Linked DNA regions of Coturnix japonica. The protein of the gene in region 1 purifies or fractionates together with the protein of each later gene. This does not show direct contact. Links are inferred from orthologs where the notes say so. Each region holds a gene or a part of one and is shown in the gene's direction. Other genes may lie near its edges. The genes, in order: PHLPP2, SLC9A3R1, USP46 and USP1.

Region 1 (3,565 bases):
GGCTTCAGTAACACAAGTATTAGAGTCTTAATGTAATCGCAGGAGGCTCAGGCCAGGTGTTTGAAGATCCAGGCACGTCTCTCCCATTCCTCTTGAATTCTGCTCTGAAGGTTATAGACTGCATCAGGATTTGCTGTATTGGAAGTCTGCACTGTTTGGTGCAATCTGTTATTTATTCCACTTTCTAACAGCTTGGCTGTTCTAGGTAACAGCCACACAGATTTGTCATTTACAGTAACACACTGGAAATCTCTTCCTAATGTTCTGTGTGGTGTTCACTGCTCCTTCTGTAGGGTGAAAAAAAGAAGTGATAACTTAGACCTCAAGTCACATATTTACAGAACTGCTTGCCTCTCTTAAGCCTCTGGATCCCCCGGGGAGGTGCTGAAAAAGACTGAGAGCAGCCTGTGTTTGGGCCGGCAGGAAAGGAGGCAATGGGCTCAAACTTAAATGCAGGAATTGTAACATCAGCAAACTTTTTTTTTTTTTTTTTTTTTTTTTTAAGAAATTTAAGTAGAGTTCTAAATTTTTAGGTCAATAAAAACAGATTTTTAAAATTATTGTGAGTCTGCTTCTTGTGCAGTATTTCGGATATTGTTTCTTGTCATTGTTTCCTCTTGATGTTCTTTAAGTCATATAAAGGAAACCATGGATTGCATGGCTTAAGTTTTTTCCTCTCCATTTCCCTTCTGCAGTAAAGTTCTTCAGATGCTGCATTTTTTAACTGATTTTTTAGCATAAAGCACCAACCCAGGGGTATGTGTTTGCCAGACCTTTTTAGAGCAGTATCGGTGTCGGTATCCCTTGCACTTTGTTGCAATGAGACATGTTTCATCTTTTTCAAGTTGTCAAACTGCTTTCTTGTATGTTTTGCTAGGAGGCTGGAACCCACTGAAAAGCCCCTTCAGATTGTGTATGACTACTTGGCTGGGTTGGGTTTTGATGACCCTGTCAGAGTGCAGGAGGAGGCAGCAAACTCTGACCTCAGCTGTATGATTCGCTTTTACAGCGGTAAGAATCTGTGTGTGCATGTACGCTCTCACTGTACCCGTAGTTTTAAATATCTGGTGGAGCTCAGGTGAAGCACAAGTCATTGACCGGTTGGCTTTATAGATGGCTAAATCATACACGCAATATCAGCGAGCATTTCTTAAAAGAGTTTTCAAAATCGTAGGAATGGCAGTTTCGTAGTTCTCTTGACCCTATTTGTGTCTGGGGAGAAGACAGCTCAATGGCACAACATGTGATTGCTCTGTTTCGTGTTATGACAAATGCCTTAGAAGTCCAAATGAGATCAGAAACGTTCTGCAGTTCAGTCTAGATAAGGCATTTCACACAACCTGCCTGAAGGTAATGGTCAGTAAGTTTGTAATTGCCTTTCTACTGCATCTGAAAGACAGATGCTCGGCAAGTGCCGCAATCTGTAATTACTTGAAGATTAAAAATGCACTACATGGCAATTGTGGTAATACTTTACCGAAAGTCGTACAGTGGTGGTTTGTCAGACACTTCTGCCCCAGGTACATCGCTTGTCTTCTGTGTGAGATCTTTATTTTATGTGCTACTCAGTGTTTCGTCTTAACGTGTTGCTTGCAGTAACTGATATTGCATGTTACAGCTGTGCTGCTATTTGTGCTCTTACCTGAAAATGAAGAACAAATGGAGAGTAAGCAGAAATATTCATTTTTTTCTTCAGAAAAGCCCTGTCAGATGGAACAGTTAGATCGCATCCTGCTCTCTGGAATCTATAATGTGCGCAAGGGGAAGACTCAGTTGCACAAATGGGCGGAACGCTTAGTGATTCTCTGTGGCACCTGTCTCATCGTGTCCTCTGTTAAAGACAGCCACACAGGGAAGATGCACATCTTGCCTCTTGTCGGAGGGAAGGTAAAACTTTTTTTAAGCTTTCTGTAACCTAAAAAAGAAGAAGGGGGGTTATAATGATGTGTATTATCCACAAGAGGTTAATCTAGGCTGTGTTGCTGTATCAACAGACTCAGGGAGAATTGCATGATTATTTCCTACTTACTTTTCTTAAGTGGTCTTAAGGCTAATAAAATGCTGGAAGAGACACTACTTCTGTTTTCACAGTAGTAGCCAGTGTGAATAGGCATCCTGGAGATCATTACTTAAAGGATCTACTTCAGCAGAAAGATGTTAAGAAGGATTTACTACACTACATTTGTCTCAAATAACCTTATAACAGAGTTTTGTTCGAAATACTGCATTATCGATTTTAATATCTTACCCTAGATTTCAGATCCATTGTAATTGCTGGAATTTAGGTAGACTGTTTTGTTTTCATCCCTCCCTTTGCAGGTTGAAGAAATGAAACGTCGGCAGTACACTCTTGCTTTCACATCTGCTGGAGCACAAGCCCAGACATACCATGTCTCCTTTGAAACACTGGCAGAGTGTCAGCGGTGGCACCGACAGGCATCCACGGTGAGGCCCTGGAGACTGCAGCAGTTGGGGTGGTGGGTACCAAGGAAATGAAGGGATTTATTGTACAGGCTGGGTCTGCAGGCAGCGATTTAAACTGTGATGCTGGAGAAAGTACCTGGGATGCTTTCCAGCTTTCTTCATTTCTTACATGCTCGGGATTACAGAATCTTTATTTGAGCTTTCTCCTGGGGCACTGGCTGTACAGCATTGTTGAGTAGCAGTTCTGTGTTCTTTTCACCCCCACCCTACTGAGAGTAGCTAATCACAGCTCACTAGAACAATTTACAGCCGTAGAAATCTGTTAATTGCTCCTGCTGCCATTCGCCTGTGACCTGTGGCCTAGACTGACTCAGAGGTACCCTGTTATATTTGAGTTCAGTAAAGCAAGGGATCGTAGGTCAGCAAGGTAAGCATAGTTTGTTCAGAGCTGCTTCCTTATTCCACATTAAAGTACAATTAGCTGGTAATAGCTCAACACTGAACTGCTCTTTGACCTCAAATATATAACATGAAATACGGTGCAGGTTGAAGTTGGTAATAAATGCTTAAATGAAGCAAGTAAGACCTTGAGACAAAGTGTACTTAATTAAAGGAGACATGATATTTACAGAGACTATGAAATGTCACAAAAACATGTGAAGTTTTTTTCATCTTTAATATTTCTGATATTATAGCCTGAACAAGCACACAGAAGAAAATCAAAAGTAATAGGTTGGCCAAAGAGAGGCTCTGTATAGTATACAGAGCAGAACTGCAGTGTCAGCTGCTTCATTTTGCTGTCTGCAACCTTGGGAGGCACTCAGACTACTTTCTCAGCACATTCCTTATCCAGAGATACAGCTTTTTCTGTCGCTTTGTCATGGAGTAGCAAATGCCATAATACTCCCTGGACTTGGTTTCCTGCTTGAACTCTACCTGTGTGTGGTGGGTATACAGGGACTCTTCATTTTGTGGATTGTTTACTACTTGCAGTCTTTGGTTTTCCATTAGACTTCCATATAAGAATTGTTGCACAGCTACAACTCTTACTCCTTCCTTTCAGGTTGTGTCTATGCGACTTAGCATGGTTGATCTTTCATGCTACAGCCTTGAGGAAGTACCCGAGCATCTCTTCTACAGT
Region 2 (2,285 bases), on another chromosome or scaffold:
TGGCTGCCCCGGAGCTGTTGTGCCCACGGGCACCGATGGTCACAGCCCTGGTGTGTGCCTGTCCCCACCTGACGCCGTGTCCTCTCTGCAGGTCCCTTGCCTGAGCCCATTGCCAATGGTGATATAGAGAAGGTGAGATAAATTCCTTTTTGTCCTTTCTAAATCCCACCTATGCTGGTCTGTAGGCATGGAGCCCCTGGGTTTGGATGTCCCTCCTTCCTTTGTCTGTGGGTGGTTGGGTGACCCACGGGCTGCCAGGGTCGAGGCTCCCACACTGTCACACGAGAGCAGGTGCCACTGGGAAGGGGAGTGGGAAGCAGTGGCCCCCAGGAAGCAGATCACTTATAGGCTCTGTCCTTATGATGCTGTGGCTGGGAAGGAGCCCTCGTGCTTCAGGGAAGCAGCACCCCATTCCACAGCCCTCCTCCTGCTGCTGCAGCTGGGAAGTCAGGTTTAATCCTCCCAGCCTTGCATGGGCAGTGCAGGAGGTGTTTATTAGCACGGAGCTCTCAGCGGATTACGTGCAGGGAGGAAGGATGAGGGATGGCAGCAGCCCCAGGGGTGGCTTCCAAACCTCAGCTTCTCTCTCCTGCTCTGCTTCCTGCAGGAAAATGGTGGAGAGCCACGGCTGAACTCGGTGTCAGAGAGACCCCCCAGCCCTGCACTGGCTGCATCCCCTGAAGGCAGCGAGACCCACAGCGAGGTAGGGGCGGAAAGAATGACTGAGGGGGGGGTGGGCAAAGTCCCCACATGGAGGCTGAGCTCCTCTCTCTCCGCAGCCCGATTTGCAAGAAGGGGACAAGCGCAGCTCAGCGCCCAGCTCCCTGCTGGACCTCGACATCCCGCTGGCCGTGGCCAAGGAGCGTGCGCACCAGAAGCGCACCAGCAAACGGGCTCCACAGATGGACTGGAGCAAGAAGAACGAACTGTTCAGCAACCTGTGAATCCGCCCCGGGGCAGGGACACCGGCCCCATCCCCTTCATCCCCACCACCCTGATGGGGAGGACGGGGCTCGGGGTCGCTGAGCATCCCTGATGAGGATGGTGACGGTGCCCTGGGTGCTCCTCCAGCCCCGGTGTGAAGCTTTGTGCGCCCGGCTGTGTGCAGAGCTCTGGGGAGGTTTGGTCACTCAGAGTGGCCGGGTTTGGTGCCCCACGCTTCTCATCCCCTCTGCCAGCTCTCGTTCTCCCATCCCAAAGCCCACCTCTGTTTCAGCCCCCCCAGATCATCTCCCCTTCTAGAGGCTCTCGGTGATTCTCACCATGCCCTACACCGCAGCAGTTCCTCCTGGGGTTGGCACTCTTAACCTTGCAGTGTCCGTCCACAATGACCCCATCCCTTCGTTCCTGTGCCCACAGAGCTGCTCTCAGAGGCACTTGGGCGTCCTACAGCCTCTGCCCCAGGGTTGTTTTGGGAGAGGAGAGGTGTCTGGAGCCAGCACAGCAAGCAATAATAAGCAATAATCACCCCCGGTGCTGCTGCTTGCTCCCAGAGACAGAGCCGGTCAGGGCTTGTGTCCTACACTGCTTAGTTTAAAGGGTTCTCTGTAGACTCTCTTCTTTCTCCAAAATGAGAGTTTTTCCAATCACACAGTTTATTTCTTTTTTTAATGTATTTTGTGGAAAATTCTTCCTGTGGATGTTTTGTTTCTGTGTTTTGCAATCAGGTGTCGTGTTGTCAAGATGAAGATAAATTCTGTTTACTGGAATAAATCTTCCTGACTTCACATGTCCAGCTGGAGGCCAAATCCTTGCGGAGCCGTGGATCCCAGGGCATGGTGCTGGGGGGGGCCTGGGGGCAGGGGCTGCAGGGCAGGGCAGCATCCCTTGTGAAGGTGGCTGTGCACGCTGGGCCCTGTCTATGGGCAGACACCTTAGAGTCTGAGTTTGTTCGAATGTCTCCCTGGAGCAATTAAGCCATGGTGAGCTGATACAGGATTCGGTTTGGAGCTGGGATGGACTAATGGAGAAGGCTGGGCTGGTCCCAGTGTGAGTTAATGCCTTGGGACGATTAAAGGGCTTTAATCCCGCGGGGGGGGGTGGGGGGAGCCGTTCCAGTCTACTGTGTGCCTGCTCTAATCTGCCCATCCGTAGGGACTTGTAGGGACGTGGCTGCCAGCTGGGCTGGAGGGAGGCAGCGTTGCTAGGGGCTGCCCCAACCCCAAACAGCCACCACTGCTCCACTGGGGTGTGGGGTGAGCCTGAGTGCCTGGGCTGCCTTCTCAGAGCAGCGGGCTGGAGGAGAGCAGGGCACTGCCCATCCAGAGTGGGACCTCTGAGGGTTT
Region 3 (3,998 bases), on another chromosome or scaffold:
TAATACCTGTGGAGCCCGGCTCTGCAGGCTGAAATTATTACCTTGTAGCAATGTGAACTGGACAGTGTAGCCAAGAGGGAGCTGCCATGTTTCCAGGTGCTAACCAAGATGTCACCAGCTTCCTCTCTTAAGGATCTCTTATGTGTAGGGAAGGAACAACACAGGGGCTTGAAGTTTCTGCTGGAACCAGAGATATTTGCTAAGGAAAGGGATGCTGAGGCCATATCCTAGAATCATGGAATCATAGAATGGCCTGGGTTGAAAAGGACCACAGTGATCAGCTATTTTCAACCCCCTTGCTGTATGCAGGGTTGCCAGCCACCAGACCAGGCTGCCCAGAGCCACATCCAGCCATTCAGCTATGGGGCATCCACAGCCACCTTGGGCAACCTGTTCCAGTGTGTCACCACCCTCTGTGTGAAAATATTCCCCCAAATATCTAACCTAAACCTCCCCTGTCTCAGTTTAAGACCATTCCCCCTTGTCCTATCACTACCCACCCTTGTAAACAGCTGTTCCCCCTCCTATTTATATGGTCCCTTGAAGTACAGGAAGGTCACAAGGAAGTCTCCCTGGACCCTGCTCTTCTCAAAGCTAAACAACCCCAGTTCCCTCAACCTTTTCTCATAGGAGAGATGATGGTAGGTGAACTCCATCTTTGTTTCTCCATGAGATTTGTCACATGGCCACAAGATAACATCCTTGTGCCTCACCACAAGTACAGATTTAAGGCGCTAGTATCTTTTAATGCCCTCACACCCTGGAGGATGGCACGGGCCTTCGTTTATTGCAGTGTATGAAGATGAACTGAGCTTACTGCGTTAGCAGTGTTGTGTAAATGAACGTCCTGTAAATTTGTGACTGAGTGGCAGCGACCACAAAGCACATAGAATAGTCCTTCAAGCTGGGTGTGAAGAGCACATCCCAAAGCACAGTGGTGCTGTCACTGTCACAAGCTGCGTCGCCCTGCCTGCCTGCTCTCCGCCTCGTTGTCCCTCCTGCCTTCAAATGGCATCTCTCGTGCCCTTTAACCCGAGTTCGGCGGCCGCCCCAGGGGCATCGCGGCGCCCCGCACTGCCTCCGCAGGGCACCCCGCGCCCCTCCCCGAGTCGCGTTGGCCGCAGCGGTGCCGGGTGCCGCTCACTGTCCGGCCCGGTGCCGCGCCGCGATGGAGCTGCAGCCGTCGGGTGAGGAGGAGCAGCAGGAGGAGGAGGAGGAGGAAGGCAGGGATTAACGCTGGGCCGGCTGGCGCAGAGGCGCGGCTGAGCGCTCCGGCAGGAGCCCAGGGCCCTGCGGCCCGTGCAGAAGGCAGGGGCGGGAGGAGCGGAGATGCGGCTGCTCCAGCCGCGCCGCTAAAGCTGCCGGTCACTCGCCCGTGGGAGGAGGAGGAAGGAGGGCGGCGAGCTCCTTCCTCCCCGCTGCGCCGCGGGGCGCGGGCAGGCCTTCCTCCCGCTCATCCCAGCCCCGAGTCGGAGCCGCCGTCGCCCCCTCTGCCTTCCTGCGCTCTTCCCACCATGAGCGGGGCCGTTTTCACCTCGTAAAGATGGCGGTGTGGGATCGCTGCAACCTTTAGACTAATGACTGTCAGAAACATCGCCTCCATCTGTAATATGGTGAGTGCCGGCGGGCGGGGCGGTACGGCAGGCCTGCTGGGGCCGGCGGGGGCTGCCCGGGGGCGCCGGGAGGAGGAGGAAGCGGAGGCGGGGAGCCGGGCAGGCTCAGCCGGGAAGCAGCCGAGGCCCGGAGGATCGTCCCGGGGACGGACGGAGGCACCGACGGGAGCGGGGCGGGCGCCGACCGTCTCACGTTGAAGACGGAGCCGCGGCCGCCTGTCCTTCCTCCTTTTCGCCCTTCCTCTTCCTGCCCTAAGAACGCTGCCGAGGAACCCCGGAGTTAGGCTCCGAGTGCGTACCCGGCTCAGTGAGCCCAATAAATCCCTCCAGGCAGGCACCCTGAGGCTCACGCGGCCAGCAGCCCCTGGGGAATGCACGGAACCGGTGTAAGAGGCTTTGGTCCCGAGACTGGGGGCTCCCATAGGAAGTCTCAGCTTCGGTTGCTGTCAGGGATTTTCTCCTGCTGGGTGCCATTCAGAGAAGATTGCTGCTTACAGCTGACTCTCAAAGCACTTGACTTTCTCTAACTCACACTGTGTAATGAGGAAGAAATAAGGAAATATTAATATGTTTGCTTGCTGTGTTCAAGCTTTGCCATTCCCAGCCCAGGAATAGTTGAAAAGACCATTTCTTCACTGTGCCTATATCTGTTTGCAGTCCTGACTCTACTGACTCAGAGCAGCTGATTTGGTTTGGATTTCTAAAACTTCATGGTGGGGGAGAGCTTAAAGTACATCAGTGGAAGTGCACTGAGATGGCAGTACGCTTGCCAAAGACATGAGTGAGTGCTAAGCACACCAGTGCAAACAGAAGAGAAGCCAATTGCTGCACATTTTGTTGGTTTAGTCTGTATTTTTCCCCCTTATTTCCAGGTTCTTCAAGAGCAGCTCCACACAGTTGCCAGCTTCCCTCCATGTGGTGCCCCAGCATGCCTTGTGCTGGCAATGCCACACATACCTTTCAGCTGCCCTGGAGAACGGAGCCTGCCTCCGGGGTAAGGCAGCGGGCACAGCCCAGAGGCCCGACTCCCGCGGGTCAGCAGGGCTGGGGAGGGAGCGTGGGGTGTGAGCTGCTCCCCCTTCTGTGGCAATGGCAGCTTTTCACCGCTCTTAATACCTTCCAGTCCTGGGGGTCAGGGATACTGCAACAAAGCACTGCATGAAGGGGAGCTGGAGGCTGTTAGATGATTGTAAGGCTTTAGCACTGGCTTAAATCCTAGGAGCTCCGTGATTTCTTTCATGTGCTTCAAGCATGTGCTTGCATACAGTCTGCTTCTCCCCAAACCTGCACAGATAGAGCAAAATTGCTGGGTTTATTCTAAAGGTGTGCTGCTCAGCTGCTACCATTAGATCCTGCAAAAGTGGCATGTCAGAAATGGAAGAACTGAAGTCTCACACAAGAGCTCATAGTTCAAGACAATTCTGGCTCGCAGTATCAATGCTGAAACTGAGGGTGAAGTTGATTTAACAGTAATAATGCTTTAAAGCTTATAGAGACGTTGTGTTATACTGGTGACATTCAGTCTTCTCTTCATAACCCATGGGATTATTAATTCATTGTAGGATACAAATGCTGGGCTTTTCAGAAGCTTACAGGAATCTGGGCCTTGAAGCTAAACATAAACTACTGGAGATACCAGTAACTCTGCATTATGGCTCCTCTAAAGATGAGCCCACTTAGATAAAGTAGTGGACTGTAAGAAGAGCTGGGACATCTCTCTGTAAGAATAGGACTTGAGAGTTACACAAGCAAACCTTTTGTTTGTATAAACTATTATTGCAGTTCTAGACTGACAGAAGGTATCTGTGGAAATCTACCAGAGACCTATATTCCCCAGTCTTTTTCCTGCGATATAACATGGTGCTTGAAGAACTGAGCCACTCACAGTCTGTGGCTAAGAAGTAGGCAAAGCAAGTGTAGTGAAGCAAAGAAAGCCAGGGACAGTTTTCAACTTGCTTGCAAAGGAGATCCAGCACTATGTATTCATGGATGAACTCCCATATGCTGAGGGAAACACGGTCAGAACTAACCAGTAAGAAAAACAGGTTTATCCATTCCACTTGGCATGCGTATTAATGGCATATATTGAAATGCGCAACTTCTAGACTTAAAATTACTTTGTTGTTTTTCCCCAGTTTGCCACCCCCCTCTCCCATTTACAATTATAGTAGCATTAGTTATTCGCTGGCTTGGTTAACAAAGCCAAGGAGGTAAAATTACTTCCTCTGGGGCTAGAGGGTGATGAACAACTCTCTACATGAAGGAACTGGTGGCAAAGATGGAGATCCGGCTCCCAGAAAGTTCCTCTTACTGCCTTGCAGATGGTGGGAGGTCATCCGTAGGGCTGTATACTGCCTGAGCACAGCAGGAGGTCTGCAATGGGCA
Region 4 (4,267 bases), on another chromosome or scaffold:
AGATTTCCTTTCCTAGGCAGCCAAGTGCCTTGGATGATTTGTTTCCGTGCTTCAGTCTGGTTGTGAATGGAGGCAGGATCACTCTAAATGTTCATCTATACCACTCCTACCAACAGACAGACTTGTCTTCACACTTTATATTCAGTATTCTCATGTTTGTGAATGGTTTCTTACACTTCCTGCCATAAGCTGTTTGACCAAGTGTTCTGATAGAATGAAATCAGTCTGGCCAGCACAAGCTCTTCAGGGCTGGGTCAGGTTGGTGTTACTGCACTGAGGTGACCCCAGGAGTGGGGCAGTGCTGAAAGAGCACATTGTCTGCTCACAACTCACCAATGTTCACTAAATTCACAGGGCAGTTCTGGCTGTGCACTGTGCAGATGGATGGGCCTGATGCTGCTACAGCTCTGTGCTTTGTGAGTAGCTCTAACTCATAACTCACATCAACAAGCAGAGCTGTGGGGCTTCATCCCTGCAGGGGACACTGCTCTGTAACGGAGACTTCCCCCACATCCACCTCCTGGGAATCTCCTCTTTCCAGGCATTTCACAGGGTTATTTTTGGTTCAGCCTGCAGATATTTCTGCTTTCCCACTGCAGCCGTTTCTATGACATGTGGCTGCAAAGCCCGTACAATTACACATCGTTTAACTCGGTGCATTTGAGCATCTCAGGGCTGTGTTTGCAGCCACCCCTCACACCTGCAGCCGTGTTTGAAACATTCCTTTTACTGTGAGAGGCCGGAGCCGCACAGGCTGTGGACAAACAGCTCCTTTATTGAGCCTGCTGAGCAGCCATCAATATTTCATGAGCTGTTGCTCTATTTCTGGATTGATACGGAAAGGAAAAGCCATTTTGTGGCATTTAAACGGATCCATTCCGGCACCGTCCCGCTGGAAGGACTTCCCTGCATTAACTCATGACAGCGAGCCAATATGGGAGGGTTGGCAGGGAGCTGTGGGGGTGAAACAAGCCCCGGGACTGCTGCTGCTCCGTGTGGTAGCGGAGCTGACACCGACCCCCAGCGGCGCGACCGAGCTCTGAGGAGAGACTGACCCGTCCCACCCCGCAACGGCCGTTATCCTGAGCCGTTCAAACGGCCCGCTGTGATTGGCGGAGGCGGAAGGAGGCGGGGCTACGCGCGGACCAATCCGCTGCCGCGGTGTGATCTCGGCGCGGTGGTTGGTCCCGCCCCTTCCCGCCCCTCCCCCTCTCCAGCCCCGGGTCCTTGGTCGCGCCGTTAGCGGCGCCCGCGCGCGCACTGCGAGGACCCTGAGGGCTCCCCGGCGCGTTGCCTGACGGAAGCGGCGGACTCTTGGTGCCGGTGCCGCCGATTGAGCCCGCTCCGAGGTCTCTCTCGACTCGCTCTAGCCGTCCCGAGGAGGGCTGCAGCTCGCCACCATGGCAATTCGATCCCGGCCGGCGTCGTCCCCGCCTTCCGCTCCGGCGTTTGAGCGAGGCAGCCGCGGTCGCTTGGGCGCGAGGAGGGCTGCGGGCGCGGGTCCTGGCGGCGCGGAAAACGCGCCAAGTTTCCCGTGTCGGAGCGAGCGGCCCCAGAGCGGGCGGGGAGCGGGGAAACGGCGGCGCCATGTAGCGGTGAGAGAACGGGCACGGCTACGGGGAGAGAACGGCAACGGGAGGGGGGATGAGGGACTGAGGGACCGCGAGAGGGCGGGGAGGGAGCGGGGCGGCGGGAGGAGAGGAGAGGAGAGCTGAGGAGAGGAAAGGAGGAGAGAGCTGAAGAGAGGAGAGCTGAGGAGAGGAAAGGAGGGGAGAGCTGAGGAGAGGCCAGGCCGTGAGCGGGGCGGTGTGAGGCGGCCGTGACGCCGTGTGTGTTTGTTATGTGTGTTTATTATGTGTGTATATGGCAGGTGTTCGCCCCTCGCCGCCCGCCCGGAGATGCCGGGGGTGCTCCCGAGTGACGGCAGCGCGCCGCAGCGGGGCAGCCCCTGCAGGAAGAACCGGCTGTCGCTGAAACTCTTCCAGAAGAAAGAGGCCAAAAGAGCGCTGGATTTCACCGAGCACACGGAACATGAGCACAAGGGCGCCGAGCTCCGCGCCGATGACATGTAAGTACGGGTGCCCGGCTGTGCCCGCTGCCGTTTCCCTCTTTCCCGGCCGAGGTTGCGGTGTTTTGAGCGTCCCGGGGCACAAAGTTGTGGTGCTGGGACAGAGTTGTCTCGTTTCGGTCCGGTTGCGCCGCTGAGTTGGTTAAAGCGTGTTCACAATGCGGTTCGTGCTCTTAGTGAAGGGATATCGGGCCTTTAGGCTGCTCTCAGCGTGCTCTTAGTGTAAGGATATCACGGCTGGAAGCAGCGGTCCCGCTCCTGCTGCCACACTGTGTTCCCAGCCCTCAGCACCTGTGGGCTCAGTGCAGCACAGCCAGGGCTGAGTCCCACCAGGCAGAGGAGAAATGACCCGATCACAGCAATATGTGGTGGTGAAGACTTTAAGGCTTTAAGGCTCTGCTGTGTTGGCGTAGGGTCGTTGGTTTGGTTATTCAGCTGTTTATCCTCTTGTTGTGCATCCTGTAATGAAGCCGTGTGGATCTGGAGCAATAGAAAATAAGCAGCGGATCCTTTTTCTTGGTGCTGTCTTAGGAATGAATGAAGAGCGTATTAAAGTAGTTGAAAGAGAACTCAGCTGAGTCGTTCAGTCTGGCCTGTGGGCTGTTCTGCAGGACAGGCATTGGAAGTGCATGCAGTAGTAATACGTGCTGGAAGCCTGTCAGGCTGCCTGCAGGTTGTTAGAGGAGCTCCAAGGAGACTCGGAAACACCATGACACAGTTTTCATCTGTGTGTTAATCATTAATTCTGTAAGCTGTCTCCTTATCTTCCGCTACCTATACGGTAGAGGCTTGGAGAGCTGTGTGTGCATATCAGGCAGGTTTCTTATGCTTGTTTTCTCTGTTTGACAGTGACCAGGTTGTTCCTGCAGCACAGCCTCCCTCACTTGTCAGCTGTGAGAAGAAGGACAACATGTTACCCTTTGTGGGCTTGAATAATCTTGGCAACACCTGTTACCTTAACAGCGTTCTTCAGGTAAGATCACATTCAGGGGCCTCAAAAAAAAATCACATTGTACTGTTCTAGTGCAAGTGGCTGGGTTTCCTAGTCTGCCATTATAGAGGAGACGTCCGGATGTTGTATCAGGGGAATCTAATTACAGTGAGGGGAAGAAAAGTGATACCACAGGAAGTGTGTGCACCATAGATTGCTGTGATTGAGTCATCTGTCAGTTTACATACTTGGGCCACCTCCCTGCTGTGAGTAATCCCAGCAGCGGCCTTGGGAGATGCAGAGCTGGCTGGGTCCTAAGCATAGAGAGGTAATGTTGAATAACTGGGTTGACCAACTATTGTCTTGTTTTCTGCTGTTGCTTTTAGGTATTATATTTTTGTCCTGGTTTTAAAACGGGAATCAAACATTTATATAATATCATTTCAAAGAAGAAAGAATCGTTGAAGGATGAAGGAGAGCTAAAAGCAGAAAAGGTAATACATCTCAGTACACCTTGTAACGGTGCAGGTGAGGGTGTGTGCCAGGAAGGTTCTCAAAGTGGAACTGTTTTCTTCTGCTCTTAAGAAGTTGGGCAGTGTTGTTTTCTGTACTATTCTGGGTGAAAGCAGGTTTGAGTGGTTTTGGACTTGTGTTCAAACAGGAGTGTTCAGAGCCTTTGTGAACTTGTAAGCACAAGGCTGAGCTGGTTGAATTTCAGTTAAACTTAGCGTACCTTATGTCTGTGGGCAAAGATAGTTTGGGCTTCTAACGTTCATACTGGGGCTTTCATGTTTCTTTTCTGCTGTCGAATGAGCAATGAATTGACTTAAACTCACCTGTTTCCCCTTGTGGGGAAAAAATAAATCTTTCCAATTTGTTGGATAATTACATAGGGGCTACTCATAACTGCTTGTTACAGACAAAGCTGCAACTATCTTCATTCTCATTGCAGGGAAACTGTAAAGAAGATCCACTGGCGAGTTATGAACTGATCTGCAGTTTGCACTCGTTGATTCTTTCTGTTGAACAGCTTCAAGCCAGCTTTCTTTTGAACCCAGAGAAATACACCGATGAACTCGCTACTCAGCCACGAAGGCTGCTCAACACCCTTAGGTACAAATTATCTTAAACACCACATTTTCACCTAAAGTTTTGGCATAGTTATAACTGTACAGTAGAGCAGGAGGGAACTGTGGGGGAAGGGAGTAGATAATTGTAGATTTTGGGGCATTGTTACGCGATTATACAAAGGAGGTTCTCCTGCATTT

What was found.
Region 2: the proteins of PHLPP2 (region 1) and SLC9A3R1 purify together in Homo sapiens (co-immunoprecipitation; 3 studies listed by BioGRID and IntAct, with this or other methods). This does not show direct contact. The link is inferred for Coturnix japonica from reciprocal best matches to the Homo sapiens genes PHLPP2 and NHERF1.
Region 3: the proteins of PHLPP2 (region 1) and USP46 purify together in Homo sapiens (affinity purification with mass spectrometry; 4 studies listed by BioGRID and IntAct, counting the BioPlex papers as one, with this or other methods). This does not show direct contact. The link is inferred for Coturnix japonica from reciprocal best matches to the Homo sapiens genes PHLPP2 and USP46.
Region 4: the proteins of PHLPP2 (region 1) and USP1 purify together in Homo sapiens (affinity purification with mass spectrometry; 3 studies listed by BioGRID and IntAct, with this or other methods). This does not show direct contact. The link is inferred for Coturnix japonica from reciprocal best matches to the Homo sapiens genes PHLPP2 and USP1.

The regions. Positions count from the first base shown.
Region 1 is NC_029526.1:17,694,581-17,698,145, forward strand, and holds part of PHLPP2 (PH domain leucine-rich repeat-containing protein phosphatase 2), read left to right. Parts: intron 1-201; exon of another isoform or gene 202-287; intron 288-877; coding exon 878-1,011; intron 1,012-1,642; exon of another isoform or gene 1,643-1,696; coding exon 1,697-1,887; exon of another isoform or gene 1,888-1,915; intron 1,916-2,248; exon of another isoform or gene 2,249-2,319; coding exon 2,320-2,445; exon of another isoform or gene 2,446-2,460; intron 2,461-2,560; exon of another isoform or gene 2,561-2,847; intron 2,848-3,487; coding exon 3,488-3,565. UniProt on the Homo sapiens protein: Protein phosphatase involved in regulation of Akt and PKC signaling.
Region 2 is NC_029533.1:9,151,882-9,154,166, forward strand, and holds the end of SLC9A3R1 (Na(+)/H(+) exchange regulatory cofactor NHE-RF1), read left to right. Parts: intron 1-91; coding exon 92-132; intron 133-607; coding exon 608-703; intron 704-779; coding exon 780-944; 3' UTR 945-1,733; downstream 1,734-2,285. UniProt on the Homo sapiens protein: Scaffold protein that connects plasma membrane proteins with members of the ezrin/moesin/radixin family and thereby helps to link them to the actin cytoskeleton and to regulate their surface expression. Necessary for recycling of internalized ADRB2.
Region 3 is NC_029519.1:59,548,443-59,552,440, forward strand, and holds the start of USP46 (ubiquitin carboxyl-terminal hydrolase 46), read left to right. Parts: upstream 1-1,141; 5' UTR 1,142-1,577; coding exon of another isoform or gene 1,578-1,613; intron 1,614-2,485; 5' UTR 2,486-2,526; coding exon 2,527-2,607; intron 2,608-3,998. UniProt on the Homo sapiens protein: Deubiquitinating enzyme that plays a role in behavior, possibly by regulating GABA action. May act by mediating the deubiquitination of GAD1/GAD67.
Region 4 is NC_029523.1:24,710,866-24,715,132, forward strand, and holds the start of USP1 (ubiquitin carboxyl-terminal hydrolase 1), read left to right. Parts: upstream 1-1,460; 5' UTR 1,461-1,595; intron 1,596-1,870; 5' UTR 1,871-1,898; coding exon 1,899-2,068; intron 2,069-2,917; coding exon 2,918-3,041; intron 3,042-3,385; coding exon 3,386-3,493; intron 3,494-3,951; coding exon 3,952-4,112; intron 4,113-4,267. UniProt on the Homo sapiens protein: Negative regulator of DNA damage repair which specifically deubiquitinates monoubiquitinated FANCD2. Also involved in PCNA-mediated translesion synthesis (TLS) by deubiquitinating monoubiquitinated PCNA.